3 linked regions of the Drosophila melanogaster genome follow. The protein of the gene in region 1 purifies or fractionates together with the protein of each later gene. This does not show direct contact. Each region holds a gene or a part of one and is shown in the gene's direction. Other genes may lie near its edges.

Region 1 (9,309 bases):
CATGCTGGATCACTAGAGTCTGGAGAACCTTTCTAATCTGGTGGCCAGTGTTCAGGCACGACTTCAAGCCCAGCGAGAAGGCCACCGTTAGGATGTCGATTGCGTGTTCCTGCAGCAGCACCGACATCTCCGGCAGATTGTCAATGGCCGTCGCTGCCACCGAGGAGTTCTCGTCCCGCAGGCACTGAATGTAGGCGTTAAGGGTGCACAGGTTGATGTCCGAATTGCCGGGATTGTGCTTCAGATGCCTGATCAGTATGATGAAGGCGATGGACCGGATCTGGGCACTCGGCGAGAATATAAGGTTGAGCAGTCGTTCGAACAGCTCGTTGATGAACACAAATCTCTTGGAAGTGAGGCACTCCAGCTCCTGCATGGGACCCAAGACCACGTCCTCCGTGTTGGACTGCTTTATGATCTTGACCAGATCGAGGAAGTGCGGCGATATGTCCGTGTAGTTCGACCGGCTGTACGAGCCCAAGGTTAGAACCGATAAGGGACCCCTACTGCTGCTTGGATCGATGGGTGTTTGCGGATTCACTTCGATGGGATCCTCTGTTACCACGGGCTTGCTGGCCGATGGCTTTACATCGAAATGCTCATCCAGATCGTACTCGTACTTAACTTCCTCGTCGTCCAATTCCGTCGCCGAGTGCGACTTGTGCTGCAGCAGGGCAACGGCCTGGACCAAAACCTGCAGTTTGCCTAGTGAGGTGTACTTGGCTGCAAGTTCCTTCAGGATGCCCACGTACTGTTCGATGAAGAGCAGAGCACTTGAGGGATTGTAGTTGATGTAGGCTTGGAGCATCTGCACAAACTTGTTCAGCATTTGGCAGGCCTCTTTTACGTTGCTGTGGTGCTTGAAGAAGTTGAAGTAGCACGACAGCGTGTTTTGGATCTCGTTCTTGTACGCCTCCTCAAAGATGGTTGGTTGCAGCAGCTCCAGCGTCCTCAGGATCTGTACAAATCGGTGGAAGTGGTGCTCCTCGCGCAGGGCCTTCATGCTGAGCTGGGCCCGACCTTGCATAATGGACGACAGCACGCCCAGCTGGCGAAGGAAGAGAAGCGGGTGGGAGGCAGCCAGCTTGCGAAGGAGCAGCTCGGTGTCCGTGGACAGGGTTTCAAAGTCCTTTTTGCCCACCAGACTGCCCAAGCAGGTGATCAGATTGTTGGACACCTTGTCCGCCTGGCAGCCCTTCAGATTCTGCAATTTGTACGCCTGCTCGCCGGTTTTGCCCGGTTTCAGAAACTTGATGCGCGGATACATGATGTACATCTGCTGGAGGACCTGCAGTTTCAAGTAGTCGGACACCGAACTTTTCTCCACGTGCTCCATTACCTTGACCATGAGGTCTCGTCGCTTCTCTGTGAGCTTAAACAGTAGGTTCATTCGCGAGCAGAGCTTGAAATCATAGTTTTTGCTGTCCAGCTTGACCTCGGAAAGCCCTTCGTGAAGGATGAAGTGGGAGAACGGCTCCAGTTCAGAAGTCCTCAGCATGAAGAAGGCATCCGGCCGTACGTTCTTCGACATGTACTTGTCGCGTCCCTTCCACAGCTTCGGATTGGTGGTCAGTGCCTCGAAGTAGTTGAGGACGGTGGCGTAGTCGTAGTCTTCATGGAAATTCTTGAACAGGTACTCGGCAATCCTTTCGATCGTGTCCCAGTTGGTTTGGTGGTTGATCAGGGACAACAGATAGAACCTAAACTCGCTGCAGGACTTTGAGAACAGAAAGCGCTCCTTCATTAGCTGAGTGGAAACTATCTCGGGATCCATTTCGGACAGCCAGTCGATGAAGAGCCCGTTGTGGAAGAGCTGGTCGCTCTTGGACTTGGCGACGGTCTTGCTGTCCTTGGTCTGATCGAAGCTTTGGACGATCGCCCGGACGATCCGTTTTCGTGCCACCAAGGCGGTATTCGCCTTAAACTGCTGCGCATAAATCTCGCGAGAGTTTCTCAGCATGAACACCAAGCTCTCATGATAGAGTTCGGATTTCTGCAGCAGACTGGAGTCGGCGAATGTGTGCTTAAACATACTTAAGTTCTTTTGGAGAGCGTTCTCCAGTATGTGATACTTGTCGCTGTGCAGCATGCAGCTGAAGAAAGTCCTTAAAAATGTGCAGGCGTGACGGCTCATCGTGACACTGCAACCCACGGCTAGCACCTCTGTTATGGCGTTAACCACATCCGCTCTATTGCTGTTCGGGCTTGCTAGCATGTCCAACAGTTTTTGAATCAAGGATCGGCAGTCACTTCGCGACTCAGTCAACTGGTCGGGCTGCGTGAGAATGGTTTGGGCTACCTCCTTGGTGGCCAGGAAGTTAGTGGGTCTATCATCCGAGTCTGAAGAATCGTAATCATCAATTTCAACGGCCTCCTGAATAACCACACTGATCTTGGGCAGATCTGGCACAGTCTGCGAGTGGGAATGCAGATCCAAGGCCTGTACGGTGTAGTGCCCATTCTTAGCACCCCGCGCCTGCTGAATCTCGATTAGCTGGGCCAGATAGGCCTTGTTCAGAATGGCATTCTTCACCAGATCAAACTGCTCCAGTACAGCGGTGTCCAGCATTGCCAGCAGCTTGGACATCGAGTTGACCGGCGTGCCAAAGTTTTGCACAAAGAGCACGATCTGATCCGGCGTTAGATCGTTGAGAGCTGCCTCAATTAGTCTGTCCACCGATGAGCGGATCATCTTCAGCTTCAGCCAGTCGGGCAGCAGTTGCACCTGCTCCTGCGGCATGCTGGGCAGAAAGGCGACGGGCGCTGGTCGTCCGGGCGGAAACCAATAGTCCAAAATGGGTATCGATTCGGGCATGTTGCTGTTGGAATAGGTGAGCAGGATAATGAAGGCGTGAATGATGTTTATGTGGAGCGGTAGCTGTACTCCATCGTCAAACTGAACCATCAGCAGGTCCGGATACTCGGTCCACTCGTACGGTTCGTGGTATTCCCTTAGCTTAATTATATAGTTGTTGAACATGACGAAAAGACACTTCAGAGTCTGAATGCGGTTCTCGTCGGGCACATAGTCGTAGTCCTCCTGCGAAATGATAATGTGCTGAAACATTGTGCTGCGCTCTACAATCAGCTGCGCCATATCGATGACATGATCCAGCATTTCGTTGACCGGATCGTTGAGCGTGTGCGCAGTGATGAACTGAATGTACGCCATAATCAGTTCCGGGCAATTCTCCACCTGGCAGGCAGCTCGCAGCTGGGGAATTATGAAGGGTTTCACCTCGTAGAAGTGCGGAATTTGCTGGAGCGACTTCAGGAGCCATTCGTTTTCAAAGTCGCCAGAGTGCCTGAAGATTATCTTCAGACCCGAAAGAGCGGCGACTCGCGATTGCTTCACCGTGGACGACAAGCGTCTAAATATGTAGTCCAAAAGCTCGCAAACGATTTGGTGGCTAAGATTGCCGTCAAATATCAGGTTTCTCAGGAAATTGACTAACTCGGCATCGCGGCTATTCTCCTCGTTGATGATGTGCGCGTTGAACAGCAGAAACTCGCACAGGCATTGCACTGGGAGATGGCTGAAATCGCCCTCGCTGTTCTGAACCAAGTCGGAAAGCCAGGGCATGGATTGCGTGGTGCCCTGCCTTTGAATTATGTCCAGCAGCAAGTCCGGCTTGCGGCAGCGGCAGAATAAGTGGCCAAGCTTGTAGGTCTGATTAAGGAACTTTAGCTGATCTAGGACCATGGAGGGCACTTTGCGCGGAGTGCCCATCGGGTCCATCAGCATGAGCTGAGTGATTAGAATCGCAGTTTCCTCAGTGATAACAGCATGCGGCGATGTTTGGGCAGCCAAGTACGTCTCGAACTGCAGAATGTGATCCCGTTCCATGGTTATTATCTGAAAAATCTTTATTGTAGCACCGCCAGTTTGTTTATATAATTAAGCACGCACCTGCAACTCATCCTTGGTGGCTGATGAATTGTTGAATTGATTCGTTATACAAATCTCCATCATCATCTTCATTGTGGGATAGTGGTCCCAGCAGAAGGCTCCAAACGAGGAGGGGTTGTGTGCGGATATCATAAGCAATATGAGCCACGCCTTCCAGTAGAAGGCGATGATGGCCAGCTTTGGTGGCTCGTACTCCGCAGGCAAGCGAATGTTCTCCGGATGATGGTACTCTGACATGCTGAACAGGAAGTCGATGATGTCGAATTTGTTGGCCTGCACCGCCGGAATATTGGTAGCCTTCATCCCGGAAACTCGCTTTATGACCAGCAGCAGGACATCAAAGGTGTTTGCGATAGAGAAAGGAATATCCTTGGTGATGCCAATCAATATAATTCGCAGCAGGGTCTCCTCGTGAATCGGCGTCTCAGAGATAATCCGCAGGATTGCTCCTCGCTCCGGCTCTGACGGCCACTGATCGCAGCGCGAATACTGCTCCGGACTGTCCAGCAGTAGCAGCTTGTGCAGCGCCTGGTGGTACTCCGCAGCCGGAATCTTGAAGAGCGTGGGTACTGTTTCGTACATCCAGGACACTGTGTCCAACTGAATCTGTGACATCTGATTGTACAGCTTGAGCAGAGCATGGTTGTTTTTGGTGTCCCGATTGGTTTTCAGGGACAAACTGGCTTCCCTAGCTTGTGGCGTGGCCGACAGAAACATGCAGAGACACACAATGTCCACCATGGAGTTGAAAATTCGCTCCTTAAACTCGAACATTTCGATTTGAGGAGTCAGATCCTCCCGCTCACTGAGAAACGTCTTGCAAAACTTGACCAGGTTCACATCGAAGCGCAGCATCCGCACAAGCTCCCGTAAGAAAACGCGCAGGGTGCGCAGGCAATCGTCCCGCTGAAGCAAGAATTCCTGGTAAATCTCAGCCAGAGTGGCAGCTGATTGATCAGCAGATGTTTGAAACATTGTGGCTGGAAAAGTTTCAAATTAAGAATTATGATTTTAATTTAAGAAAAAATTTGTTTCTCTTACCCAGCATCCCCATATTGTTTGGATTCCTGGTGTTGGATAGCTCATTTTGCACGACCAGTTTCATTACGGTACTCAAGATTTCCGGCTGCAGAAAAATCATCTCCTTCAAGCAGGACATGTAGTGGTTTATTAGGGGCTTCGTCTTGAGCCGCATCTTCACCAGCACCAAGAGCACTTCGTTGTCCTGTGTGTTGCGTCCCTTGATGTTGAAGCAGATGTACGAGAGCAATTGCTGGGCGAACTTGACCAGTTTTCCGTTGTGGATCCACAGCTCCAGGCGGGAAATGCTCAGACATCGTACCTCTGCAATGCCAGAAGTGGTGCACAGGAACTTTAGGAAGTTTCTGGTGTAGTTATCCTGCTGCTGTCGCTTGTTGAGCTGATCGCGAATGGCATCGCTGACATGCTTCTGCACCACAGCATCGCTGAATCTTGATTTAGTGGTGCACATAGCGTCGGGAATTGGTTCCGATTCGGTATTTAAGGGACTTGCATCCAAGCTCTGTGTGGAATTGTCCCCGGAATCGTCGTCCACAGTCATGCTGTCTCTGTGTGCTTGACCAGAAGGCAGGGACGAGCTCACATCCCAGCGGAGGAGACTGATGTGGGGCGTGCGGGTTTTAAAGGCTGCGCATATGTTCTTCACGAGCGGGGCACACAGTTCATTGTCCGCCCAGTAGCGCTCGTTAACCGCATCGTCTATGTAAATGCGGAGCAGCACCTCCGGCCACTGGGAAATCTCCATGAAGCCCCGGGTCAGCAGATTGGCGAACAGAATGTGCAGGTTGGTGTTGTACCTCATTTTCACGTTGGCCTCCCGCCGCAGGAAGGAAAGCAGCGCGCAGGCCACTATGTCTGTGCAGAATATACTCGGCTGTACCTTGGCCACGTAGATCAGGGCCAGAAGGGCAATGTTGTCCACCTTGGAGCGCGAGGAGCTCGTCGTTGTCTGCTTTATAACGCCGCATACAAGCCGGCCCACAGTTTCGCTGTCGTTCTGCTCCAAAGCCGCGTATATGGTCTCGACCACGGTATCCAGATCGCAGTCAACGGCGAATTGCTCCCACGTCTCGCACTGACTACTACCGGAGGACATGTCCGGGGCGCCCGCGTCCTTCAGGTTGCCGCGGAACCGCTTGCTCGAGCTGGCCAGTGCGGTGGAGGCTTCACGCTTGCGGTCCGACGACGACATGCCCTTAATGGGCAGGATCTTCGACTTGGAGTCATCGCGTACGCTCTTGCCGAGCGCAAAGAGTTCTCCGCCCAGCGGAACCTTCTTCTGCGATCGGTTGGAGCCGCTTCCTTTCCCGCGATCCATTTTTCTCTGTTCGTGTGTGAAGGTTTTTTCTGTCCATAAAATGGATAATTCAAGCGCGGTGCATTTTATTTTGCTTTGCGATTTGCAGCCGTGCAACAGTTGCAGTGTGACCAGAGTGCAGGCGCTAGGGCTCAATGGCTAACGCATGCAGAAGTCTGTGCAACTGCTCTGATTCGGAACGATGGAAGCTTTGAAACAGGCTTTAATATAAATATTGAACTGTTTTCATATTTTAATTTTTATTTTTTGACAAGTGTGTAACCTAACACCCTTAGGCGCACATTTGCATACATCATTTTTCAGATGGCCCACTCTCATGTGCAGATTGTTCTTAAGAACCCCTCAACGCGGTCACACTAAAATTGTTTACAAAATTGCAAGGAAAATAATAATAATTGTAAATTAAAATCAGCGCACCAGCATGTTTCTGTCCATCGCCCCGCCCCTAATGGACTTCGAGGACGAGCTGCTCTGGATAAACCAGTCGAACAGCGACAAGGTGGAGATCATCTACGACAAGTCCAACTACATTACCCCCAACATAAAGCACCTCATCGAGCAGGCTTTTCTCCAGCCACTCAGCCTCCAGAACCAGCACATCCTCTTCGACGACCTGCTGAAGCAGAACACGGACATTGCGCGCCAATATGGACTGACCCCGGACAAGGTAAGAACCGAAAACATTGCTAGATATATGTCTTATCCATTGCTTCCATCTCAGCTACCTCTGCTCGTGGAAAGCAATCCTCTCATCTCCATTGAGATCTTGCTAAGACTGATGACGACCTCCGACATAACTGAATACTTCAACGTGTTGGTCAACATGGACATAACACTTCACTCCATGGAGGTGGTCAACCGGTAGGAATCCAAACATCGAGTATTGAAGGCTTCTTTAACATGCTCGAGCTCTCATTCCAGACTAACCACCTCCGGACCTTTGCCCACTGAGTTTATTCACCTATACATCAGCAATTGCATCTCGACTTGCGAAACAGTCAAGGACAAGTACATGCAGTCTCGCCTGGTGCGACTCGTTTGCGTATTTCTGCAGTCCTTGATTAGGAACAAGATTGTGAACGTTAGGGTATGCGCTACTACCATTTCCTCGACTGTGCTTAGTGACTATTCTATTGTTATTTTCCAGGAACTATTCATTGAAATCGAAGCCTTCTGCGTGGGTTTCAGCAAAATCAAGGAGGCTGCTACCCTGTACCGGCTTATCAAACACTTGGAAACTGGGGAAAGCGCTCTGTCGTCCAACTCCCTAGCTAAGTAGTGGTAGTGTTTAGCAGATTTTAAGTTTTAAAGTCTAGTTCATAATAAATCGATTAAATACGACAACTCCAGCTGTACATGTAAAACAAATTCGCATTTAATAACTTAAGTATCTAATGTAGAGTTGTGTGTTTTATGAGTGAGTGTTGGCTGCCTCGTTGGTGTGAAAGTAAAGTGGCTCGGCCGAGGGCTTGGGGAAACGGCTCAGGTAGCGTTCCAGTCTTAAGAATTTAATCGAAATCAGGCGCTTGTCGAACCACCAGCCGTTGATCTCTTTGTGAATCGTGCCGGCGTCCTCCTCGCTGGCGCAGCGGATGTACACGCAGCAGGACTGCACGTCCAGCTGGACATCGCAGATCTTGCAGCGCGTGCCGACCTTCTCGATGATCGACTCCACGATGGACTGCTTCAGATTGGCCTGATCCACCTCTGAGGAGTCGAACATGTGCCTAATCTTCAGGCAGGGAGTCGGCGGGTTGGCAATCTTGTTCGAGTTATCGAAGGCGGGACTCTGCCACTTCTTAACAAGCCCCACATCCTTTTTGTCAACGTTCCTGTTCCACGCAATTGTGCGCATTGCCTTCCCGTCACGATTCACCATTCCGAACAGCACACGGCTATCGTTTTTCTCCAGCTGCTTGAGGGCCTTGTTCCAAGAAGACAAGAGCTTTGAGCGCTTCTTGGCCGGCAGAAACTTCTCCTGCAGCTGGTTAATAACTACCTCGGGACTCTCGGACTGGGAGCTCAAGTAAATTAGCTCGTTTATTATGTCCTTTTGGAACTGATCGACCGCCAACAGGGCTTCCTTCTGCTTAACTCGGTATATTACTACCGCGACGTACACGATGAGAAATCCAGCGACTATTAAGAGAAGTGCACCGATAACGGTGAAAAACCTGGTAACTTTCTTCAACACAATGCACTTGAGCGGCAGATTGGGTTCAGAAAGCTCGAAGTGCGAGGTCTGTCCAAGGTGCTTCGTTGAATCCACCACTTGGATGCTCCACTGCGGATTCTCGGTAATCAAATATTTGGCAGCCATCAAGTTGCTGTGCAGATTTCCCCTGTGAGTCTTTGGGTTGCTGACCATTTCCCGCACAAACTCTCCTATTTCCAAAGCGGGCGACAAATTGGCGTCTTTGCAGTGATGGAGCCTGGCTCGCTCGTTCAGATGCCTAAAGAGTTCCTCGCTCATGTCCAGCGCACCCCTTAGCGAATCTTTTTCGATGCAATTCACCTTTTCGCTGATCATTTGCATATCGTTGGGGTTACATAATGTATACTTCAGTGCGGCCTTATCGATGGGGCTCTGCTCGAACCTCTTGCCCACATAGAGGACAGTGATTATTGTCAAAAATATTAAGAACAGCGAAATTAGCACTCGTGGTATTACATAGGGCCTGATGTCGGGATTCCTGATGAAGGATTTAAGGTCCGACAAAGCGAACCGAGTTAGCCTTTCTTTCCTGAGCGGGATTCTCGACGCCTGGCCAGTGGGATAGTTGAACTTCCGCTGGATCGTGGTATCCCGAAAGCTGAGCAGTCTATTTACCACGCCTCCGTCAGATAACTTAGCTTTTCCGCTCGGTTTGCCATAGTTATTCGACGTGTCTATGGCGTACGGCATGGAGCATGGCTGCAGGTATTTGCCATTTAACCCCAAGCTGTGCGGCGAGCAGTCTCCATCGTAATTGGAAGCCACAACCGGTGGTGGGGCGTACATTTTGGAGGCGGACAACTGAAGCGGGCTTGAGTCGCTCTC
Region 2 (10,521 bases), about 14 Mb from region 1:
AGACATAACGATTTCGTAAATTTTAATTGTGGTAAAATAAAAGATGTCACATTCCCTTACACAAACGAGTACGGGCTATTGGTGACTAGAAAGAGATTCTTGCCCGCCTGCTGCAGCTTCTCGAAGAACTTGACCAGCTTCGGGTTTCGTTCTATGTACTTCTCAGTGTTCCGCATCACCTTGCCGTGCATAATGGGATGGCAGGAGCCCATGGCGGTCCTGGTGTCATGGAAAACAATCTCTGGATTGTAGTCGATTCGATTGCGTTCAAAATATTCGATTACATTGCACAGCAGGCACATTTCAGGTACAGAAAACAGGTCGGCCAATTGCACCATTTTGGAGTTGGTGTTATGCTGTGCGAAAGGAGATCGTAAATCACTGATTGCTAAACACAAAACCCAAGCGTAAGCCGCCAGGTGATAAGATATCGATACGAACCCTGTAGCTATTGTTCGGCCCCTCCACGTAGGCAATAGGCAGCAGGCGGTTGTGGTAGAGCTTCAGCACCTCATCCGCCTCCACTTTGGTACGTCCCCTGTATACCGAGCCCAGCTGTAGCTGCAGGAAACTGTCCAGTTTCACCAGCAGCCCCTTTTCCACGTCGTAGTGCAGGCCGCGTACCGCAAAGTTCGGTTCGTACTCCAGCTGGAGGATGTCCTCCGGGTAGCGGAACCTCTTCACCAGCATCTCGCGAGCCAGATTGTACAGCAGGTCCTCCAGGATGGGCTTATAGCAGGCCAGCGTGTAGTCGTAATCGAATCCGTACACCTGCACCTCGCTGAGATCGAGCTCGTTGCAGGCGAAGACCGCATCTGGATGCACATCGGAGGGCAGCTTCTTGGCTGAAAATGTCAAGTGGTGCGAAACGGGAGGGTATGTTACTAATGGGACCACTTTGCGGCTGGGTATTTATAGATCGTGCACATACTACGCATATATGCATATGCCTGCGACTGGTTGAGGCTTACATTGGAACTTCTTTTTGGTGGCTTCGTGAAGCTTTTGGAAATCACTCACTGTTTTTGGGTGCGAGATCTGGGCGGTTGCAGCTGGAGCGGAAGCTCCAGCGTCCGACGCGAAAGCGCGCGCCTCGAAACTATAGTTTGGTTTGCACGGCGAGGGGGACAGGCTGGAGGAGATGGGGTCCCAGCTCCGGAGGACACCACCAGCTCGCAGGAGCACATTCTGCCGAAGGAGAGCACTGACGATGGGACTGCCTGCCGCGCACATTTAACTGACTGCTTGCTAAATTGCCAATTAAGCCCGTTTGTTATGTACACTATGTGGGGGCGGAGTGGGCTGCATGTGGATGGGGCGGGGTGTGACCGGACGGAGGGCCCCCAAAAAATACCGACTCGCGGTTGGAACTACTGTGGCCATATGCATATTCAAATTATTGAACCCAACATTTAAAAAATTGTAAATATTATATAATAGGTTAATAATAAATTACCTTTGCGGAAACATCTTTACGATAAACATTAAAATAAGAAGTTAAAATTGCTTGACGCTACAAGATTAAGCAATTGTGTTATTCTTATTTATTATTGATATTTATTTATTAAGGCGTAATTTATGTATTAGCATTTGAATTTATTGTATATTTATTACTAGTTTAAATTTAACGGAAAAACATCGGCTATTTATCCGTTACTAATCGGCAAGATTTGCCGCCGTTTTTGGTAATTCAAAAGAGTATTACAGCTTTTCTGGTATAAGTTCCACATGGCGTTATGGATTTCTATATTTTAATCACAAACCCGTGATTTGTAACACTATTCGTTGTGAGTGCCAAGCAGTAGTGACTGAACTATCGGTTGCTGAACACGCTTCCCAGGGAATGCAAAATTTTCATTTCGGCAATAATTAAAAAATCCACGAGTGCAAACAAATTTGAAGTAATTTTCCTAGCATACATATACAAACGAGCCCAAAAGCTAAACTTGAAACACCAAAGCAACCGGAAGGAAGTGGAAAAGGAGGTCGACGACGATCAGCCATATATTCTGCCTCAATTGCCCGTGTGTGCGTGCGTGTGTGTGGTAGTAGTAGTATTTTTTCATTTCTGTTTTCGCTGTACGTGCGGATTGATTCATATTGTTTCATTACGTGAGCTATTGCAATATTGTACACACTGGGCCGAGGACATAGCCAATCGGATTTTTCTCATGAAACCATTAAACCGAGTTTAATGTTTATTTGATTTACGCGTAAATAGATGCCGCCTGCAATGTAGAGCTGCTGATGGCCCCTTTTATACGGGGGCCGCGGCCAATGAATCTACAGACCCAAAAAAGAACAAAAAAAAACCAAGGAAGGCAGAGACAAAAACAAATTGCGCCGTAGGTGAAATGAAAAGCGCCAAGAAGCAACAGCGAATACGTCAAATATCTCTAATCTCCAATACCAGTGCACGCTAAACGTGTGTGCTGAACAAAAAATTCTGGTGGCCTCCAACAAAAACAACAGCAACAAGAAACATCCGCTGAGGAATTGACAACTGATACGTAGAATTATGAACGTAGAGAGCCAACTGAAGACACCGCCAACGCACATTCGAAATCTGGTCAAGCACGTGAACAAGCGAAATTTTAATGAGAGCAGCGAGCAAATAAATCAGGTAGGTGCCCAAGTTATTCTACCAAAGTTTCCATGAACCATTTCCAATTCATTTTGTCAACAATAACAACAACATTTTGTAGGGGGCGGGGGTTTAGTGTTGCCAAACCGACAACATATCGCACCTGGCCAACCAGAGTTGCCAATTGTTCGCACTCACGAATGGGCTATTGCCATTTCACTCGCTCGTGCATTTTTGCCGACGCCATTACAGTTTTTTGGTAAAGGCAGCTGAAAAAATTTCTCTGCACGGCGTTGCGCGTTTTGTGAGCGTTTTGTTTAAGCTAAAAGTTTTATAGAATGTGTAAAACCAGGCCAATTGTGTGCGCTTAGCCACAAACGTGTTTCGTGAGTTGATGGCAGTGTGAATTTTGCAGCGTAGTAGTGCGAAATCGAATTGCGAAATTCGAATTGGGAAGCCCAAGCCAAGCGCAGGGCTTTTCGGCCCCGAAACTTCTGTTTTTTCATTGCCAAACGAGAGAAACCAAATTGAATAGTAAGTTCGTGGGACAAATTGCGTGGGAATATCAATTGCGGCCGCTTTCTTTTCGCTAGAGTTGCAATATGTCGCACTTTTTCCTGTGACCCCCTTCCTTTCGCGCACCGTCATGCTCTCTTCTCTCCTTACCCATGTAACGTTTCGCCAACGTGTGCGAGCGAGAGGGCGCGTGTGTAATTTGTTGTGGAGCAGCTGCGACGGCGGGGCCAAAGCTGTTGTCTCGCTCCCCCGTTCGGAGTGAGGCCTTGATTCCGGACTCCGAGCTCCGGATCAAATATTTCAACAGTTTTGGATCCGTAGGGAGGGAGGGGGATATCTAGCCTCCTAGAAAAGTTTTGCCATTCAAATTAGTATCATAACAAATACTTGGCTTAGAATGGCACCATTTGCCCAACAATCCCCTAAAAAGTAATCGTTTGTGGGACAAACTATGCTACAGATCCCGTTTTCTTGACAGTAAATGGCATATTCCTCAAAAATTAAAAAAAATGATAAAAAAAAATGATAACAAAACAGAGTCATATACTTCAGTATTTTGAAATTCTCAACAATCTATATCTGCCATTTAAAAAGCCTGATAAGTTTTCAAGTTATTCGAACTCAGTAGGATTACCAAATTTTCACTGATATTCAATGTTGGAATGAAGTACTAGGATAACCCAACGGAATTTATAGTAAGAAAGGTCTAGGAATTTGTTGGATTCCATGGAGAAATTATCGGATAGAAAATACATTAACTAACTTAACGATAGCCCAATTTGAGATATAGTCTTCCATTTAGTTATAGCATTCAAGATAATCTCAGAAACCTGTGAGCCCAACAATGGTGCACCTAAACTGGAATTCCCAATGATAAAATTCATGTTTTAACCCTCTGGTTGCGCTTTTAAAAAGCCAATTGGGTAAAGTTTTTAAGCGGGCAAGAAATAATGACTTAATGGATTTACTTTTGAAAACAGTTGCCTGGAGTTAGAAATAATCCCTCCAAAATGTTACTTTACATCTTGCCCTGTATCCGTAAACACATATCCAATTGTACAGAGAAAAGTTGAGACACTCACAGAACATAATAGAACCTGTCAAAATTTCCAAGTTTGCGATGAAAATCACATAAAAAAAAATCCCGGTCACCGCAGAATCTGAGGAATCGTTTGAAACATACACTGTCCCTTATACAGTGATATGTGTCCCAGATTGCGGGCAGTCGCTGTCAAGGCACTTATATTGGCTTCCAAACCCTACGCAATGCAGCTCTTTGATTCTAAACCATACATTACTGATAGCATTTACGACATCTTGCAGTTCGTTAAAGAGCACGGCCTGGAAGCGGATCGCAGCAGCCTGCGCCACCTGTTCTCCGTGATCAACTTCAGCGATCTCGTGCCATCAGTTACGGTCCAGCTGCAGGCGAAGCTCCTGGGCATCCAGTTGGAGCGTCAGCTTCACAGTTCATCGTTTGTGTCCAACATCTGCTACGCTTTTGACCAGTTCTTCGCCAGCAACCAGAAGGTAAGTTGAGTTTACAATGCCCACAATGTGTTGATTACTTATGGATACTCATTCCTAAGCAGTCCCTGAAGCCTGTTGCGGTAGCGGATCTCGTTGGCCAGGTCGCCCGACTGACCGGCATCAACAAGGTTTGTGAGTGCGTCTTTGCCTTGGCCTTGACCCACTCCTCGTACACAGAACTCAAACATTCTGCCAGGAACAACCTAAAAGGTAGCCTCAGCGAACTTATAGACTCTTACTTGGGTAATAAAGGCACCGGCCCAGCCGACAGCGGTCTCCGGGAGATCTCCTTCGATCTACTGCAGTATTTGTTGTGCTGCCTTAGCGAGTACGTACAACCGCAGGTGGAAGCACAGTTTTTGATCAAGCTTCGTGAGGAGTTTCCGCGCCAGGCGGTACCGCTGGTTCTAGCGCCGTTCCTTTACGGCTCGACGACGGCGACGATTGCGGGAGCAGGTGCCAGCGAAACGGATGCGGAGGCCGAAGCGACGACTAATAGCAACAGCTCCAGTTTCGAAGCAGATGCTTTGAACGAGGTGGGAATCGAGGATATTTATGACCATTTAAGCGAGATAATATTCACCAACCAGGTGCGTAAGACACTCATTGAAAAAGACAATTCGCTAATTGAATGTTGTGTTGCAGGGCAAAAATAATATTATGGACACATCTTGGATTAATCTAATCCTTGAAATCGGTTATGAATTTACATCGAGCGTTGAAGAGTGTAAGAATCATTTGTGTTCCCGCGAGCGAGAACGCGCTGAGCTCCAGTCCAAAGATGTCGCCAAGATCGTGGGTCTTATGTGCCGACGGCACTCCTCCCTGCTCGATTGTAATGTGAATCTACCGACGCCGGCGAACTTCTGGCCTGGTCAGGGACAGGGCGGTGGCAGCAACAGCAGTGGCTCTTCGCAGACACAAATCACTCCGCAGCAACAGAACCCGGGCAGCAGTAACAACAACGATGGCAGCGATGGCAATTCGTCCAGTGATAAGAAGGACAAGAAGGAGACGACGGAGGCCACGCAAACTTGGAAGCCAGATGTCTTTGTGCAGGCGCTCAAGGAGGTGGTGCCTCAGCTCAACTGGAAGGACGTGTGCATGGGTAATAGCTAGATAATTGCTTCGCAATCGCCAATCTATAGGAATATCATTCTTAATTTTTAGAACTTGATCATCCCGAGTTCGTGCTGAAGGATCGCATCGGTTTGGAGCTTTTGCTCACCATCCTTCGGCTGGCCACTGGCTCTAACATATTTCCACATCCAGAATGCATTTACCGTCACTGGGCAAACACGGAAGGTCAGCTGTCGCTTATCGCGACAATGCTGAAGAACCCGGATCTCTTTTCCTTCGCCGACTTTGTATTTAGCCAGCCAGCGTTGGATGTGCTTAAGACGGCTCCGGATGCGGACAATAAGGAGATCTCGTCCTGGAAGTCGCTTCACCTGGTGGAGGTGCTGCTCTCCATTGCGGACAAGGGATACTATACGCAGGTCCATGAGCTATTCAAGTTCCCAGCGCAGAACTGTCCCGATGTGCTATTTTTGGCCTTATTGAACACAAGTCCGCCTATGACGCCACTGCGTCAGGATCTGTTTAACCAACTGATACCAACGTTCCTTGGCAACCATCCCAACTCGAACGTGATCTTGGCCAGCGCCTGGAGCTCGAACAACTTCCAACTTCGTTCCAATATCATGAATGCTATGTCCGAGTGGTATCTCCGAGGCAATGAGTTCGATCAGGTGAAACTGTCGCGCATCCTGGATCTTGCCCAGGATTTAAAAGCGCTATCAGCGCTGCTCAACGCCCGTTCATTTTTATTCATTATCGACCTGGCTTGCCTTGCCTCTCGGCGCGAGTACCTGAAGCTGGAAAAGTGGCTTACCGATAAAATTCGCGAACATGGAGAGCCTTTTATGCAGGCTATAATCAAGGTTCTGCACCGCCGCTGCCCGCAGGTTATCAACGCAAAAGTGCCAGAGGATCAGCTGCCTCCCAAGCAGGCGCAGCTTTTGCCCGAGACAGTTACCACCATGATCAACTGTCTGCAAACGTGCATCAATAACTGCATGCAGCCGGAGATGGTCGAAGTCATCATGCAAATGACCGCGAACGTGGCGATTATGGCTAACAAGGCGCGTGCCCAACAGCAGCAGCAGCCAGGATTGGTTCCGCCGCCTCCACCAACAATTCTGCGCGGCCATCGTGGTATGGATCTGCCTGGAGGCATAGTCCCTCCGCCACCGCAGCAACCGTTCTCCGGAAACCTCAACGCGCAGATGTTTGGACCAGGAATGGATCCGCTAACGAATATGTCCAACAACTTAGCCGGCCTCAACCTCAGCGGCCCGAACGGAGCATTTAATTTTGGAAACATGCTAAGTAAGTGGCATTCATAGGCAATGAGTGCATAATCTATCACAGATGCCTCTTAATCCTATCTAACGAAATTCTACGTGCAATTTCAGCTTCTCCATCGCGTCTGATGACTCCGGGAGCCAATCCCTATCCGCTGAACCTCATGCAGATGCCGCAGGCTCCGCCACCACCCAACGTAGGAAACCTAGGCCGCATGCTGCCAGGGGGTCCACAACAGCAGACTCCAACGCCGACTCCAACGGCCCCCAATCCAAACAACCCTGTGATGGCCGATCTCCAGATACCTGTGTCAAAGGAAGTTGAAGACGAGGTCAACTCATACTTTCAGCGCATCTACAACCACCAGCCGAATCCAACGCTGTCCATCGATGAAGTGCTGGACATTTTGCAAAGATTTAAAGAGTCAAGTAACCGGCGCGAGCAGGAAGTCTTTTTGTGCATGCTGCGCAATCTGTTCGAGGAATATCGCTTTTTCTGTCAATACCCAGAGAAAGAGCTACAGATTACTGCGCAGCTATTTGGTGGCATTATTGATCGTAACCTGGTGCCCACTTTTGTTGCACTGGGCCTTTCTCTGCGCTGTGTCTTGGATGCCCTCCGCAAGCCCGATGGATCTAAGCTTTACTATTTCGGTGTGACGGCACTGGACAGATTCAGAACTCGATTGCACACCTACAACAAATACTGCGAGCATATCCGCTCCATTCCTCACTTCTCTGACTTCCCGCCGCACCTTATTCAGTATGTGGAATACGGAATGCACGGCCAGGAGCCGCCGCCGCAGAAGTTGATTGGACTCAGCAATACGATTCCTTCGGCGATATCTAGCGGACCAGGAACGGAACCAATTTACAGGAATAGCTCCATGTTAGGTAATTATGATTAGTATACAAAACAAGTCGATTAATATAATTAAGTAAGAACATTGGATACTAAGGAAAGCGCTATATTATAAAGAATCAATTTCCGCAGAGAATAACGTTGATTTCCACTCATTCCTCTGTAGGTAATATGCCCGCTGCCACCCCGGGATCGGGACCGAAATCAAACGCTGCTGTATCGCATGCCACGAGAATGAAGTCCATCGCCAATGCCACCAATATCGACACACTTTTGGTGGCCAACCAGGAAGAGAAAGTGACTGTGCCACCAGAGCCTGTGCAGGACAAAACTGCCTTTATTTTCAACAACTTGAGCCAGCTGAACATACCGCAGAAGTGCGATGAGATAAAGGAGATTATGACCAAGGAGTATTGGCCGTGGCTAGCGCAATATCTGGTCCTCAAACGCGCATCAATGGAGTTCAACTTCCACACACTATATTACAACTTTTTGGATGCCCTTAAAAACGGCGAGATCAACCGATTCGTAACCAAAGAGACCCTACGCAACATCAAGGTACTCTTGCGCTCCGATAAGGGAGTTATTAATTTCTCCGATCGAAGTCTGTTGAAGAACCTCGGACACTGGTTGGGCATGATGACCTTAGGTCGCAATCGCCCCATCCTGCAGTTGGATCTGGATCTTAAATCCCTTTTGGCTGAGGCTTACCACAAGGGCCAGCAGGAACTGCTTTTTGTGGTTCCTTTCGTAGCCAAGATCCTTGAGTCATCCGCCAAGTCTCGCATCTTCCGATCGCCCAATCCATGGACAATGGGTATCATGTACGTGCTTGCTGAGCTTCACCAGGAGCCAGACCTTAAGCTGAACCTGAAGTTTGAAATCGAAGTACTCTGTAAAACACTTAATCTGGAGTTGGCCAAGTTGCGACAAGTGATCTACCTGAAGGATCCCAATCGAACTCACCGGATTGAAGAGCAGATGTCGCAACCAAAACCGAAACAACTTGAGCCAGTGGCTTCTGCGCCAGCTCTACCGCGTGAACAGCAATCCCCGGCACAACCTCCGCCACCACCACAACAGCAGCAACCACCGCAGCAGCAGGTACCTCCACCGCCATCCTCTGCGGACGTGGACGCTCAAAATGCGGCCGCTATGATGATGGCAGCGGGCGGAGCTAATAGTACTCCTGGATCGGTATCTTCGCCCAATCTACCCACCGATTCCAGCCAGGTGGCACTACCGCCACCAGAGCCGCGCTATTCATACGTGGACGTAAACGTGAGCAACTTCCAGCTTATTGGTCAGCAGTTGGTACTGCCACCCAATACTCCGTTCCTGCACGCCAATCCCGGAATCAAACACATGGTCGTCAACGCCGTGGAGCGCACGATAACCGACTGGTTGCAGCCTATTGTGGACCGAAGCATCCGCATTGCCTGTGCCACCACCGAGCAGATCATCCGCAAGGACTTCGCCCTGGATGCTGACGAGAACCGAATGCGCACTGCCGCTCATCAGATGGTACGAAACCTTGCCGCCGGCATGGCCATGATTACCGGTAAGGATGAGATAGCGCGTGCTATTAGCCAGAATCTGCACAAGGCCTTGCTGTCGGGTCTAAATGGGATGCCCAGCATGGCTGAGATCCAAGCTGCTGCTATGCAGTTAGCCAGCGAAAATGTTGAGCTAGTTTGCGCTTTCATTCAGAAAACATCTGCTGAAAAGGCAGCCGCAGAGATCGATAGGCGTCTAAGCACCGATTTCGAGACCAGAAAAATTGCTCGTGAAGAGGGCAACCGCTTTGTGGACGCCCAGATCCTCACCTATCAACAGGAGCGTCTTCCAGAAGCAGTGCGCATCAAGGTGGGCGCGGCTCCAGCTACACTTTATGCTGTGTACTCGGAGTTCGCTAGAAGCATACCTGGCTTCCAGCAGATGAGCGATCGCGATATTGCCCTGTTTGTGCCCAAGCCGACGGATTTGTCTCAGCCAAATGTGTTTGCTAATGATGATAGCATGGTATACGGGGAACTGGCTAGCAAAATGGAGGCCTTCATGAACACGGCAATCGGAGTGCCGACACTCCAGATCCAGGCTAGCAAGATGCACATGCTACTCAACGCCCTGATAGCGACGCGTCGACTGCGTGACCAAGAGTCTGCCTTTAATCTGCTGACCCGCGCGGTCGAGGGTTTGACCGAAGGATTGGTCAATATGCATGAAAACATGGAGCAAATGAAGATGTACCAAAACATCCATCTCCGTATCCTTGGCTTGCTGAACAATAGTTTCGGTGCTCCAAACACAGAGCGAGCGGTAACAAAGTGTTTCTTCGATATCCGAGAGGAGGTGCGATATAACGTGGAGGCAGCTCGCGCTTTGATTACGTCGCACTTTGTCAATCTGAATCAGTTTGACGGAATGCTACGCGACTGCATGGACAACGGAAACAATTATGTGGCCATATCGTTCGGTATCGCACTGCTGGAGCGCCTCATCATGGACGATCGAGTGATTAATATTGTTTCGGACAACGAATTCATGGCAACTGTTGAGCTGCTAGGTAGGCTCACTCAGCATCGCCATCGGTATCCAGAATGCATTGTGAATGCTATTGATACGCTCTGGAGCGGAAACTTTAACTCGAGCAGCGACTACAG
Region 3 (10,739 bases), on another chromosome or scaffold:
CTATTCGGACGTGGTCTTTTACAAGCACATACAATTTTTCAGCTACGAAACAGTACTGAGCGACACACACGCAAAATTTTGGCCTGCGAAGTCGTTGCGAGTACGATGAAAAATTGCCCTGGAACTGAAAGTATTGCTGAATGTGAATCTGCTGTGACGTCACGTGCCGTCACATGACCCGTCACGCGTTAGGAACTTTCCGTTTCGCGCGCTTTACAACACTAATTGTTAGTGTTGCCATTTAGTGGAGTTCCACACCGCAGCAGGGCTGCCACATTGCCATATGGTATCAAATGAACCGGTGACGAAATCGGTATGGCAGCTACGCACTCACAAGTCTGTTTACCTACACTGGAGTTAGCAGTGTTTTTCACCCACAGAGAGCTGCCATATCGCCGTATGTTATCGATAAATTTGGAAGCATTGATTTGTACCACCCCTACTGTTAACTCACACAGCACAGTTCTGTTAATTATTGGAAAGTTTTTTAATGGAACAAATTTAATTAAATTACAAAAGTTGTTTACCCGCTGCGGCACTTGGACACCCAGAAAGTAAAACAAAGCAGTGCTCGGGGACAGCAATTGAATAGTACCAGAATCCGGGACATCGGAGGCAGCGAGCCGCGACAAAGAAGTGCACAAAGAGAGATAGCCAGTGCAAAACCCGTTTCTTCCAACCGATAAAAGGGGCGTCTATAGCTCTGCCGATCCGGAGCCCCTGGCATTGCACCACTATGATGGTTGAGTCCGATGGAACCGCCGACGCCACCCGCCGCCTAAACGTGAAGAAGCAAACACTGGACGATGCGTACGCCGTGCCCGCCAACTTCCTGGAGATCGACGTGGTCAATCCGCTGACCACCATGGCGGCGGGCAAGAAGCGCTACACGGACTACGAGGTCCGGATGCGGGTGAGTGATCGTAGTACATGTACATGGGGGCACCACCTATGCACCTTCCAAAATTCACCGAAAAAACCATTGATAATCGCTGGAATTCGCTCACACACTTGTGTGCATGTGTTCGTGCGACTTTGTCTCGCTGTGCATGTGTGTGTGCGTGCGTGTGTGTGTGTGTGTGTGTGTGTGAGTGCGGGTGATACGCCTATAAAGCGAGCCGGCCGATAAACATTAGTCACAAGTGCAGAGCACTGATTCCAGTGTCACGGCTTGAGTCACGGAAATGCGGCATGCGGGTGCCTTTATGCGGCACCGACCTTTCATTGAATTACTCTATAAGATTGGCCACCACATATGATTAACCATCGCTCCTTTTTTAGACCAATCTGCCCGTCTTTAAGGTAAAGGAGTCCAGTGTCAGGCGACGCTACAGCGACTTTGAGTGGCTGCGAAACGAGCTGGAGCGGGATAGCAAGGTACGGACAAGTGTGATCCAGGCGGTAGTCTTTCGTTTTCACTTTAATAGATTCAAAATCCGCACTATTCAGAATCTATTTAGATAGAATTACGAAACAATACATTGTAATTATAAGAAGCCACTAGAAAAGTTTCAATCCTTAAGAGGAAACTTAACCCTGAGTTTTATAAGTGAAAACGGAAACTTCGATAAGCGCCTGAAGAGTATTTAATCATGAACATACATATCCCCGCAGATTGTGGTGCCACCACTCCCAGGAAAGGCATGGAAGCGGCAGATGCCCTTCCGCGGCGACGAGGGCATCTTTGACGAAAGCTTCATCGAGGAGCGGCGCAAGGGACTGGAGGCCTTCATCAACAAGATAGCCGGACATCCGCTGGCGCAGAACGAGCGCTGCCTGCATATGTTCCTGCAGGAGAATGTCATAGATAAGAACTACGTGCCCGGCAAGATTCGGAACACATAAGCAGCTTAGTCCGGCGCAATCGAAACCCCCTAACCATAGCAATGCAATGAAGCAAAAACTCGAACGAACAAACCTGCTACGAAATCTTTATGGGAAGCCGTGTGAATGTGTGTGCTTGCCCGGATTGGAGGAGGATGGAGCAGATGAGCGATGATGTAGGTTGGTGGAGAAGGGATCTGTTATGCGACGCGATACGAGGCGGGAAGTGCTGCTGCTCAGTTAATGTTGAGCCCCTCTCAGCCCCCGGGGATTAGTTAAAAACCAGCATTGGGAATTTTTAATGCTAAATTCAAGTTTATATGGTATACATAACAATATACATACACATATATATATATTATACACAATACACATATTTACGAATAGTGTACATAAGACATGCCTACTACGCCCTCGCTAAATGAGTCTCGAAAGTAGGAGCTGCCCCTCCCATTTTCCCGATCCTCAGTTTCTTCGTTTTGAACCATTGCAGCGGTAATGAAGCAGCAAATAAAATAAGGGAGCCATCCTGACCCCAAAATCGATCCCTTGTAAGTGTATGCAAATTATTGAATATTTTGAAACAGTTTAGTGAATAATATTGTACTTCGAATCAAATTAAAATAATTCAAAAATATTGAACTGCTGATATTATTTGAATGTGCTTGAAAATGATGCGCAACTGAAGATTAAGTTGAGTTTTGTATAAAATATTAGCCTTTTTCCTAGCCAATTCTGCGGGATGGAAGTTTGTTCTTCAACTGGTCGATGTTGAATCTATGTAGTTCCCATCATATAAACCAGGCGAGGATTAATAACAATATGATGAAACAGGAAACTTCGATTGAATGCAAGGATAATTACAGTTGGGTGGGTAGGTGGATCAAAAATTGTAAACGATAAATGGATATTTTATTATTCTAAATATTATATATCATCACAAACAAAAGTCTCAGTTGAAATAAAGGTATAGGTTTCGCGCGCTGCAAATCTAGACTAGTGATGTGCTGCCACCTATCGACAGCAAAATGCCAATTTGACCATTGTAAAGTTAAAATTTTATATAGAATATATTTTAATTTGTTCATATTAACAATTTAATTTTTAATTAATAAATTAACAAGAAATTTAACAAGTTGTTTAATGTTAAGAATTAACTTATTTATTAATAAGGTTAACCGCTTTAGTTACGGTTAAAAGTGGCAACGCTGTGCTTGTTGATTCTGGCAACGCTGTGTCATCTGTGGATTGGTTCGGTTTTTTTGTTTTTATTTATTTTTGGCATGGACTCGGCGGAATCCCCCACCAAAACGCAGGCCGGCGAGGACGAGAACTACAGTCTGCTGTGCCAGGCGCACGAGCAGTTCAACAAGTGAGTGTTCATCCGCGTGTCACCGGGAAGTGCACCCATAACCGCCACTCCTTTCCGGCTGCTCCTCATTCTAGCTCGGAGTTTGATCGCTGCTTGGAACTGCTCCAGGAGTTGGAGACGCGCGGCGAGAGCAGTGGTCCTGTCCTGCGGCACAACCGGGCGGTGGTCAGCTACTACAAAACCGGGTGCACCCAACACTCCGTCCTGCTGAAAGAACTGGAGGCTCTAACCGCCGATGCAGATGCGCCCGGAGACGTGTCCAGCGGGCTGAGCCTTAAGCAGGGAGCTGCCGCCGCCACTGTTGCTCGTTACAACCGGGCGGTCATCTATTATCACCGCCATATGTTCGGCACGGCACTGGAGAAACTAGCACCACTAGTGGCTCGTCTGGAAGCCCTGGAGAAGGCAATGGCAGCGCTGGTGGCCACACTACAGCTACAGCTGCTGCTGGCCACCAATCAACTAAACCGAGCCGAGGCCTTTCTGGATTACTTGCAGTACAAGCTTAACCTGGTGGCCACAGCGCCTAGCAGCAATGCGGCCGAAGAGGCAGCTGTTGTCGGCACAGCACCTCCGTCAGCAGCGACGAACAGTTCAGTGGTGGCCTCACCAGGAGGAGCAGCTGTGGAGGGAGCTGTGCCCGGTCTGGGCGGTAGTCTGCAGCTCTTGCAGCTAATAACGCTCGTGCTTAACCGAAAACCGGTGGTTATTCAGGAAGACGGCACGCCGGAGTACGCTGCTCTGAAGGCTCAGCAGTACTACATCATGAAGGATTTTCAGATGGCCGCCAAGCAGCTTATGCGAATCAATAACGAGTGTACACAAGCGGGGTGAGTCTGCTTCATTTTAAGTTCAAAGAAGACATACTATTTTATTGTCTATCTTAATAGCACTATAACCCCCCAGCTGAGCACGTGCATTGCCAACAATATGGGAGTGATACACTTAAGAGTGCGTCACTATGCCATCGCCGCCAAGTTCTTCCAAAATGCGCTCAACTTTGACCAGCAGCTGGCGCGAAATTTGCGCCAGAGTACGCTGCAAACCATGAGTTCGGCACGGTCCTGCGAGATCCTTTACAACCTCGGTGTGGCCATGTTGCACCTACGACGCCCCAAGGAGGCGTTTCAGTGCTTTCTGGTTCCCGTTAAGCAATTCCACAGCAATCCACGTCTTTGGCTGCGCATGGCTGAGGCCTGCATCATGGAGCATGAGGCGGTAAGACAACTTTACACTAACATGTTCTAGTACAATAGAGTCACAATAGGGTATTTATTTGTCTTAAATCTCAAATTATTTTATTTTGTTTTAAAGAAACTAGTGGAGGAGGAGCGCCAGTCGCAGTCAGAAACGCCATCAACAAAGCCATACGCGTAAGTGCTAATTCGTTAGCTTAGTTCATTGCTGGTAGTAAACTTTTCCTAATTTTAGTCCTCAATCGGCGGGAGTTCCAGAGCCCACGCTGGAATTCGCTGTCTTGTGTCTACGTAGCGCGTTAACGCTTACGCAGCACTACAAGACGAGGTTTCACATGGCGGCGGTCTCCTCGGAGGATGTGGAAGCACCCGAACCCAAGGACCCAACTCAGGAGAGTTGGCGTCATCCCCAGGACAATAACTTCTGCAATCCCTCGAAGCCAGTCAGCCTAGAGTCTTTGGAAAACATGATGGCTGCCATATATGCTGCTCACAGCTTCGTCTCGCTGCGCCTAGGCGATCATGTGACCGCGCTCGAGATGTCGGAAAAACTGCTGGCCTGTGAACGCTTGTCCGATGCACACAAGTACAATACAGTTTCTATTTAATCTTCCCATGTTTGGTTTAACATATTTACCTTTTTTTCTTCAGATTGCTAGGTCACATGTACGCTGGCGAGGCGTTGATGCTTATGGACAAGGCCAGCGAGGCACGCGACCATTTGGACCCTACTTTTGTGGGCACACTAAACGCCTTCGATTTTGAGACGCGTGACTGGCAACTGAAGTCGGTGGACGCCGCTCAGAACGTTGTGCGGTATAATCTGGCCGTTGCCATGGCTCTACAGAACGACCTGCCTCAAGCTAAAGCACTCCTGGCCAATTTAACTCATTCGCTGGTTGCCAACAAGGCGCTTGCTTTGCGACGCTTCATGGACCTCAAAATGGGTCCCGTTCCTGGCGGGACGCCGAGTTAGACAACAAATTGTGTATATAACTAGACGGAATTAAAGTGCAAGAATGAAATGACGAGGAAGCGAACTATTTGTTTGACGATCATCAGTTTTTCAGCATTTTACAGGGTGCAAACAAGGTGTATAAAACAATGTCTGTTAACTAATCCATATGTGCTTATATATTTGTACACAGAGAATTGGTGTTGGCAATAGCAAATTATCTCACAATATTTTACGTTGAACTTTTGCATACTCCAGTCATTGAGACTTTTTCATAGGAATTCTACAAATTAGATTACCCTCTACGTTAAAGCGTTGGACACTTAAATTTTAAGTATCTATCTCAGGAATTTTAAAAGTTGGGTCAGAATTATTTTGACTTGTGCAAGTTACTCTTACTCGAAATGCCGTATAAAACGCTTGTCATTCTGAGTGTCTGTACTCAAATAGTCAATGGAATAACTTCTGTAAGTGCTTTTTAGTCGATAATTATAGCTATAGGCAAGTGCTACGCTCTCTTTTCCAAGGCCGAAATCATAGCCTCGCACAACTATCCGGTGGAAATTCACACAGTGGTCACACGAGATGGGTATTTACTCAACGCGTTCCGCATACCGAACTCAATCTATTGCGAGCAATCTGGAACAAAGCCGGCGGTTCTCTTCCAGCACGGAATGACCGCCTCCTCGGATGTTTTCCTAGTGAATGGACCTCGGGATGCATTGCCATTCATGTTGGCCGACGCCTGCTTTGACGTTTGGCTGAGTAACTCGCGGGGCACTCGGTATTCCCGACGCCACGTGTCTTTGGATCCCTCCGATGAGGACTTCTGGCGCTTCAGCTGGCACGAGATTGGAACGGAGGACGTGGCCGCTTTCATTGACTACATTCTGGGCACCACAAATCAAAGTGCGGTGCACTACGTGGGTCACTCACAGGGATGCACCACGCTGGTGGTGCTACTCAGCATGCGTCCGGAGTATAACCAGTTTGTGAAGACCGCAATCCTCTTAGGTCCGCCCGTCTTTATGGGGCACACACACACGCTGGGACAAATTTTTCTCAGGACGCTCATAATGTCTATGCCCGACTGCGAATTTATGTTCCACAACCGGATTTTGAATAAAATACTGAGGAGAATTTGTGGGCTTTTCGTTGTGAGGGTGTACTGTTCGACCTTTTTTATGATCGTCAACGGAAAATTTTCAGATCACTTGAACACAGTGAGTATCAAAGTCGAATGGTCAAAATATATATTGTATTTATTCTGAACATTAACATTTCCAGAGTGCGATTCCTCTGATTGCCGCCACGCTTCCAGCGGGAGTTTCTTCCCGCCAGCCCAAGCACTTCATCCAGCTCACGGACAGCGGCAGGTTCAGACCATTCGATTTCGGGATCCTGAGGAACTTGATCAACTACAGGAGCCTCACACCTCCCGACTACCCGCTACATAACGTCCGCCCCCTGACGCCAGTCCACATATTTTATAGCGATGATGACCTATCCGCCGCAAAGGAGGATGTTGAAAACTTCGCCACCAGTTTGCCGGAGGCGGTGATGCATCGGATCTCCACGCCGTCCTGGCACCACATGGACTTCGTGCACTCTATGACCGTCGCTAATGTGATTAACAAGCCGGTCATTGAAATTTTTAAAAGGTTTGAGCAACCTATCGACTGTAAAGGAAGTCTATAATAAATAATATCGAGTACCAGCCCGCCATTATCGACTACGTCCGGTCTTTTACGGAAGAGTAGGTTTTCTTTCATGTACAACATCTTTCACTTAATGATAAGCTGTAAAATGCTGCATTACCTAGAGAGTTCCCCACAAAATTTTACGTTAAAGCGTTACATATTGATTTTTTTTTGATGAAATGTATAAATGAGATTAGATCTAACGTTAAACCGATAAATATTATTCATATATCAGCGTTTTTTTCACTTATTCCTCCTCGATATGTCGTACAAAGCGTTTGTCTTCTTTTGTCTCTATATTGACCTTGCCAAGGGACTAATTACAGTAAGCACACGCATCATTAGTCGTAGTTCATGTCTTTTAAATCCTCCTATCAAAGTCCGAAATTATAGCCTCGCACAACTATCCGGTAGAAGTACACACAGTGCTCACACGAGATGGGTATTTACTCGACGCGTTCCGGATACCGGGCTCTAAATTTTGTCAGCAATCTGGACCAAAGCCGGCGGTTCTCTTTCAGCACGGAATGTCCGCGTCCTCGGACGTTTTCCTGCTAAACGGACCTCAGGATTCATTGGCATTCATGTTGGCCGACGCCTGCTTCGATGTGTGGCTGAGTAACTCAAGGGGCACTCGGTATTCCCGACGCCACGTGTCTTTGGATCCCTCTGATGAGGCCTTCTGGCGCTTCAGCTGGCACGAGATTGGAACGGAGGACGTGGCCGCTTTCATAGACTACATTCTGGACACCACGAAGCAGAGAGCGTTGCACTTCTTGGGTCACTCGCAGGGATGCACCACGCTGGTGGTGCTCCTCAGCATGCGACCGGAGTACAACAAGTTGGTCAAGACCGCAGTCCTATTAGCTCCGGCTGTCTTTATGCGCCACACAAGCACCCTTTCGCAGACCGTCTTCAGGAGTTTCATAATGGCCATGCCCGACAAGGAGTTCATGTACCACAACGGAGTTTTAAACAAACTCTTGAGTAATGTATGCGGGCTATTCGTTGCCAGGGTGTTCTGCACAACCTTCTTCTTGATTTCCAACGGAAAAATTTCCAAACACCTAAACACAGTAAGTGCACAAAGACAATATATAATATTATACATAAGTTTATTTAAAATATCATTGTTTTCAGAGCGTTATTCCTCTGATTGCCGCCACGCTTCCTGCGGGAGTTTCTTCTCGCCAGCCCAAGCACTTCATCCAGCTCACGGACAGCGGCAAGTTCAGACCATTCGATTTCGGGATCCTGAGGAACTTGATCAACTACAAGAGCCTAGAACCTCCAGACTATACTTTGAGCAACGTCCGTCCCCTGACGCCAGTCCACATATTCTACAGCGACGATGATAGTTCGACAGCAAAGGAGGATATTCAAAACTTTGCCGCCAGAGTGCCGGAGGTGGTGATGCACCGGATCTCAACACCGGGCTGGCACCATACGGACTTCGTGCATTCCATGACCGTTGCTGACGTAATCAACAAGCCGGTCATTGAAATTTTTAGAAGCTTTGAGCGACTCAGCAGTCCTACATTTTTATGAAAGTAGTTTCCATATGAAATGATGAATGTCTTTAATGTTGAATGAAAAATAACCTTTCACTTCATAAACGAATGTTCATTGAAGCTAAAATGCCTTTGTTTTACACTCTCACAACTTCTTCAGCATTAGTCACTTATATACTTCCTTACAGCTTTTGAGATATGAAGCTTTAAATCAAAGTTATTATTTATGTTATATTTTATGCATGAATTGTTTCTCATTATTTTATGTTATTTGATTATAGCGCAACTGAATTTTCTTATGGCTATGTCGTTCGGCAAGGTAAATTGCAAATTAGTTCTACTATTCTTAACATCTCTTTACAATCAATCAATTCAAACCATTGCAATATGTTGTTGATGGAGCTCGTGATTTTCTTTGACTGGCTGTTGATCGTCTCTGGTATGCCGAAGGTGAAGTTTGGCCTCCAAAATTTTACGGGTCGTGGTAAAGATTACCGCATCAAAGTGATTACTGGGGTCAGTAGCTGGTATTGTTAGGTGGGACCACATATTCGAAGACCGTTTTCTTAGATTCTTATAATAGACAAGTACGGCTACTCAGTGGAGACGCACACGGTTCGCACTGGAGATGGATACATTCTGGATATGTTTCGGATTCCCTCATCACCCAACTGCAAGGAGGACGGTTTCAAGCCGTCTGTTCTTATCCAGCACGGACTGATCAGCCTGGCCGATTCCTTCCTGGTGACGGGACCGAGGAGCGGACTTCCATTCATGCTGGCCGATCGCTGCTACGACGTGTGGCTGAGCAACAGCCGGGGAGTCCGCTACTCGCAGCGCCACATCCGGCTGAAGGCTTCCCAGGATGCCTTCTGGCGCTTTAGCTGGCACGAAATGGGAATGGAGGACCTGCCCGCCATGATCGACTACATCCTGTCCACGACAAACGAGGAAGCGTTGCACTTCGTTTGCCATTCTCAGGGATGCACCACCCTACTGGTTTTGCTCAGCATGAAGCCGGAGTATAACCGGATGATAAAGACGGCCAACATGATGGCCCCCGCCGTTTTCATGAAGCACGCAAGGAACAAGCTAATGAAAATGTTTGGGAACATCATTATGAGCATGAAGGACAGTAGTTTTTTTGGCCCCTTAGATGCTATAAGATTCCTGCTATCCGTTTTTTGCAAATGCTCGAAGTTTAAAAAATTGTGCGCCTTTATGTTCATATTGGCCAGTGAAGAACCAACATCGTATATGAACAATGTAAGCCACAATGTATTCCAACTTCCAAATTGTACCTTGATTAACATTTTTAGACCGCCATACCATTGATATTAGCAACGCATCCTGGTGCGATTTCCACTCGACAGCCAAAGCACTTTCTTCAACTCCGGAAATCTGGAAAATTCCGTCCGTATGACTTCGGAGTCATGAGAAATAAAAAACTATACAATCAGGACACGCCTCCCGATTATCCGTTGGAAAACGTCCGCCCTCAGTCGCCCATTCATATATACCACAGCCATGGTGACGACTTGGTGGCGCGCAAAGACATCCACATACTGATCAGCAAGTTGGACAAGGCGGTGTTGCATGACGTTGTTTTTGAAAAATGGAGCCACTCGGACTTTCTGTTCGCCAAATTAATCAAAAAAGTTGTTAATGAACCAATTATCAAAGTTATTGATCACTTTGAGAATAGACAGCAATAGACATTTCTATTAGGAATGTAGGAATATTCTACATTAAATCATGGTATCTTTTTGCAAAGTCTTTACTTAAATAGTCTAAAATAAAAAACTATATATATATTTATTGTTATGTTTTCATGACGCCAAAATAAATATTGTGTAAAAAACTGTTCCTTAGCATTAGTATATATAGTTATTTTTTCCATAATCTGCCTGCGACTTTAGATTACTTTTCTTCCTTTACGCACTGCTTGGCAAGCAGTTTACATGTATGTAAGTGTATAAAAATAATGTAAAATGTATACATTATCAAAACGATGGCATACATCGATGGTGCTTCCGCGTCTTGAAGTACTTCTGCATCTAATCTGTAGGCTCTACAAGTCCACAACTTGGCTAATATTTATCTCGTCCTCAGAAATGGCCAATCGACGTGCCTACTTTTGGGCCGAGATAAATGATGTCCCAAAGACAATCTACCTTGCAC

What was found.
Region 2: the proteins of Not11 (region 1) and Not1 purify together in Drosophila melanogaster (affinity purification with western blotting; one study listed by BioGRID). This does not show direct contact.
Region 3: the proteins of Not11 (region 1) and Not10 purify together in Drosophila melanogaster (affinity purification with western blotting; one study listed by BioGRID). This does not show direct contact.

The regions. Positions count from the first base shown.
Region 1 is NT_033778.4:24,035,022-24,044,330, reverse strand, and holds Not11 (CCR4-NOT transcription complex subunit 11), read left to right. Parts: upstream 1-6,622; 5' UTR 6,623-6,690; coding exon 6,691-6,936; intron 6,937-6,990; coding exon 6,991-7,130; intron 7,131-7,190; coding exon 7,191-7,548; 3' UTR 7,549-7,611; downstream 7,612-9,309. Other genes in the region: IntS1 (integrator 1), read right to left, coding at 1-3,856, 3,911-4,890, 4,952-6,269; MAN1, read right to left, coding at 7,681-9,309.
Region 2 is NT_033778.4:9,570,287-9,580,807, reverse strand, and holds the start of Not1 (Not1), read left to right. Parts: upstream 1-4,112; 5' UTR 4,113-4,303; coding exon 4,304-4,630; intron 4,631-4,689; coding exon 4,690-5,220; intron 5,221-5,275; coding exon 5,276-5,738; intron 5,739-5,800; coding exon 5,801-7,021; intron 7,022-7,107; coding exon 7,108-7,890; intron 7,891-8,024; coding exon 8,025-10,521. Other genes in the region: Nt5c (5' nucleotidase C), read right to left, coding at 61-356, 442-845, 972-1,233.
Region 3 is NT_033777.3:12,627,608-12,638,346, forward strand, and holds Not10 (CCR4-NOT transcription complex subunit 10), read left to right. Parts: upstream 1-3,039; 5' UTR 3,040-3,107; coding exon 3,108-3,196; intron 3,197-3,270; coding exon 3,271-4,026; intron 4,027-4,086; coding exon 4,087-4,414; intron 4,415-4,510; coding exon 4,511-4,569; intron 4,570-4,627; coding exon 4,628-4,978; intron 4,979-5,043; coding exon 5,044-5,368; 3' UTR 5,369-5,581; downstream 5,582-10,739. Other genes in the region: Snx3 (sorting nexin 3), read left to right, coding at 737-913, 1,282-1,377, 1,615-1,845; CG18530 (uncharacterized protein), read left to right, coding at 5,752-5,814, 5,875-6,570, 6,635-7,045; CG11598 (uncharacterized protein), read left to right, coding at 7,310-7,372, 7,428-8,123, 8,188-8,595; CG11600 (uncharacterized protein), read left to right, coding at 8,946-9,074, 9,129-9,824, 9,878-10,273. UniProt on the Drosophila melanogaster protein: Component of the CCR4-NOT complex which is one of the major cellular mRNA deadenylases and is linked to various cellular processes including bulk mRNA degradation, miRNA-mediated repression, translational repression during translational initiation and general transcription regulation.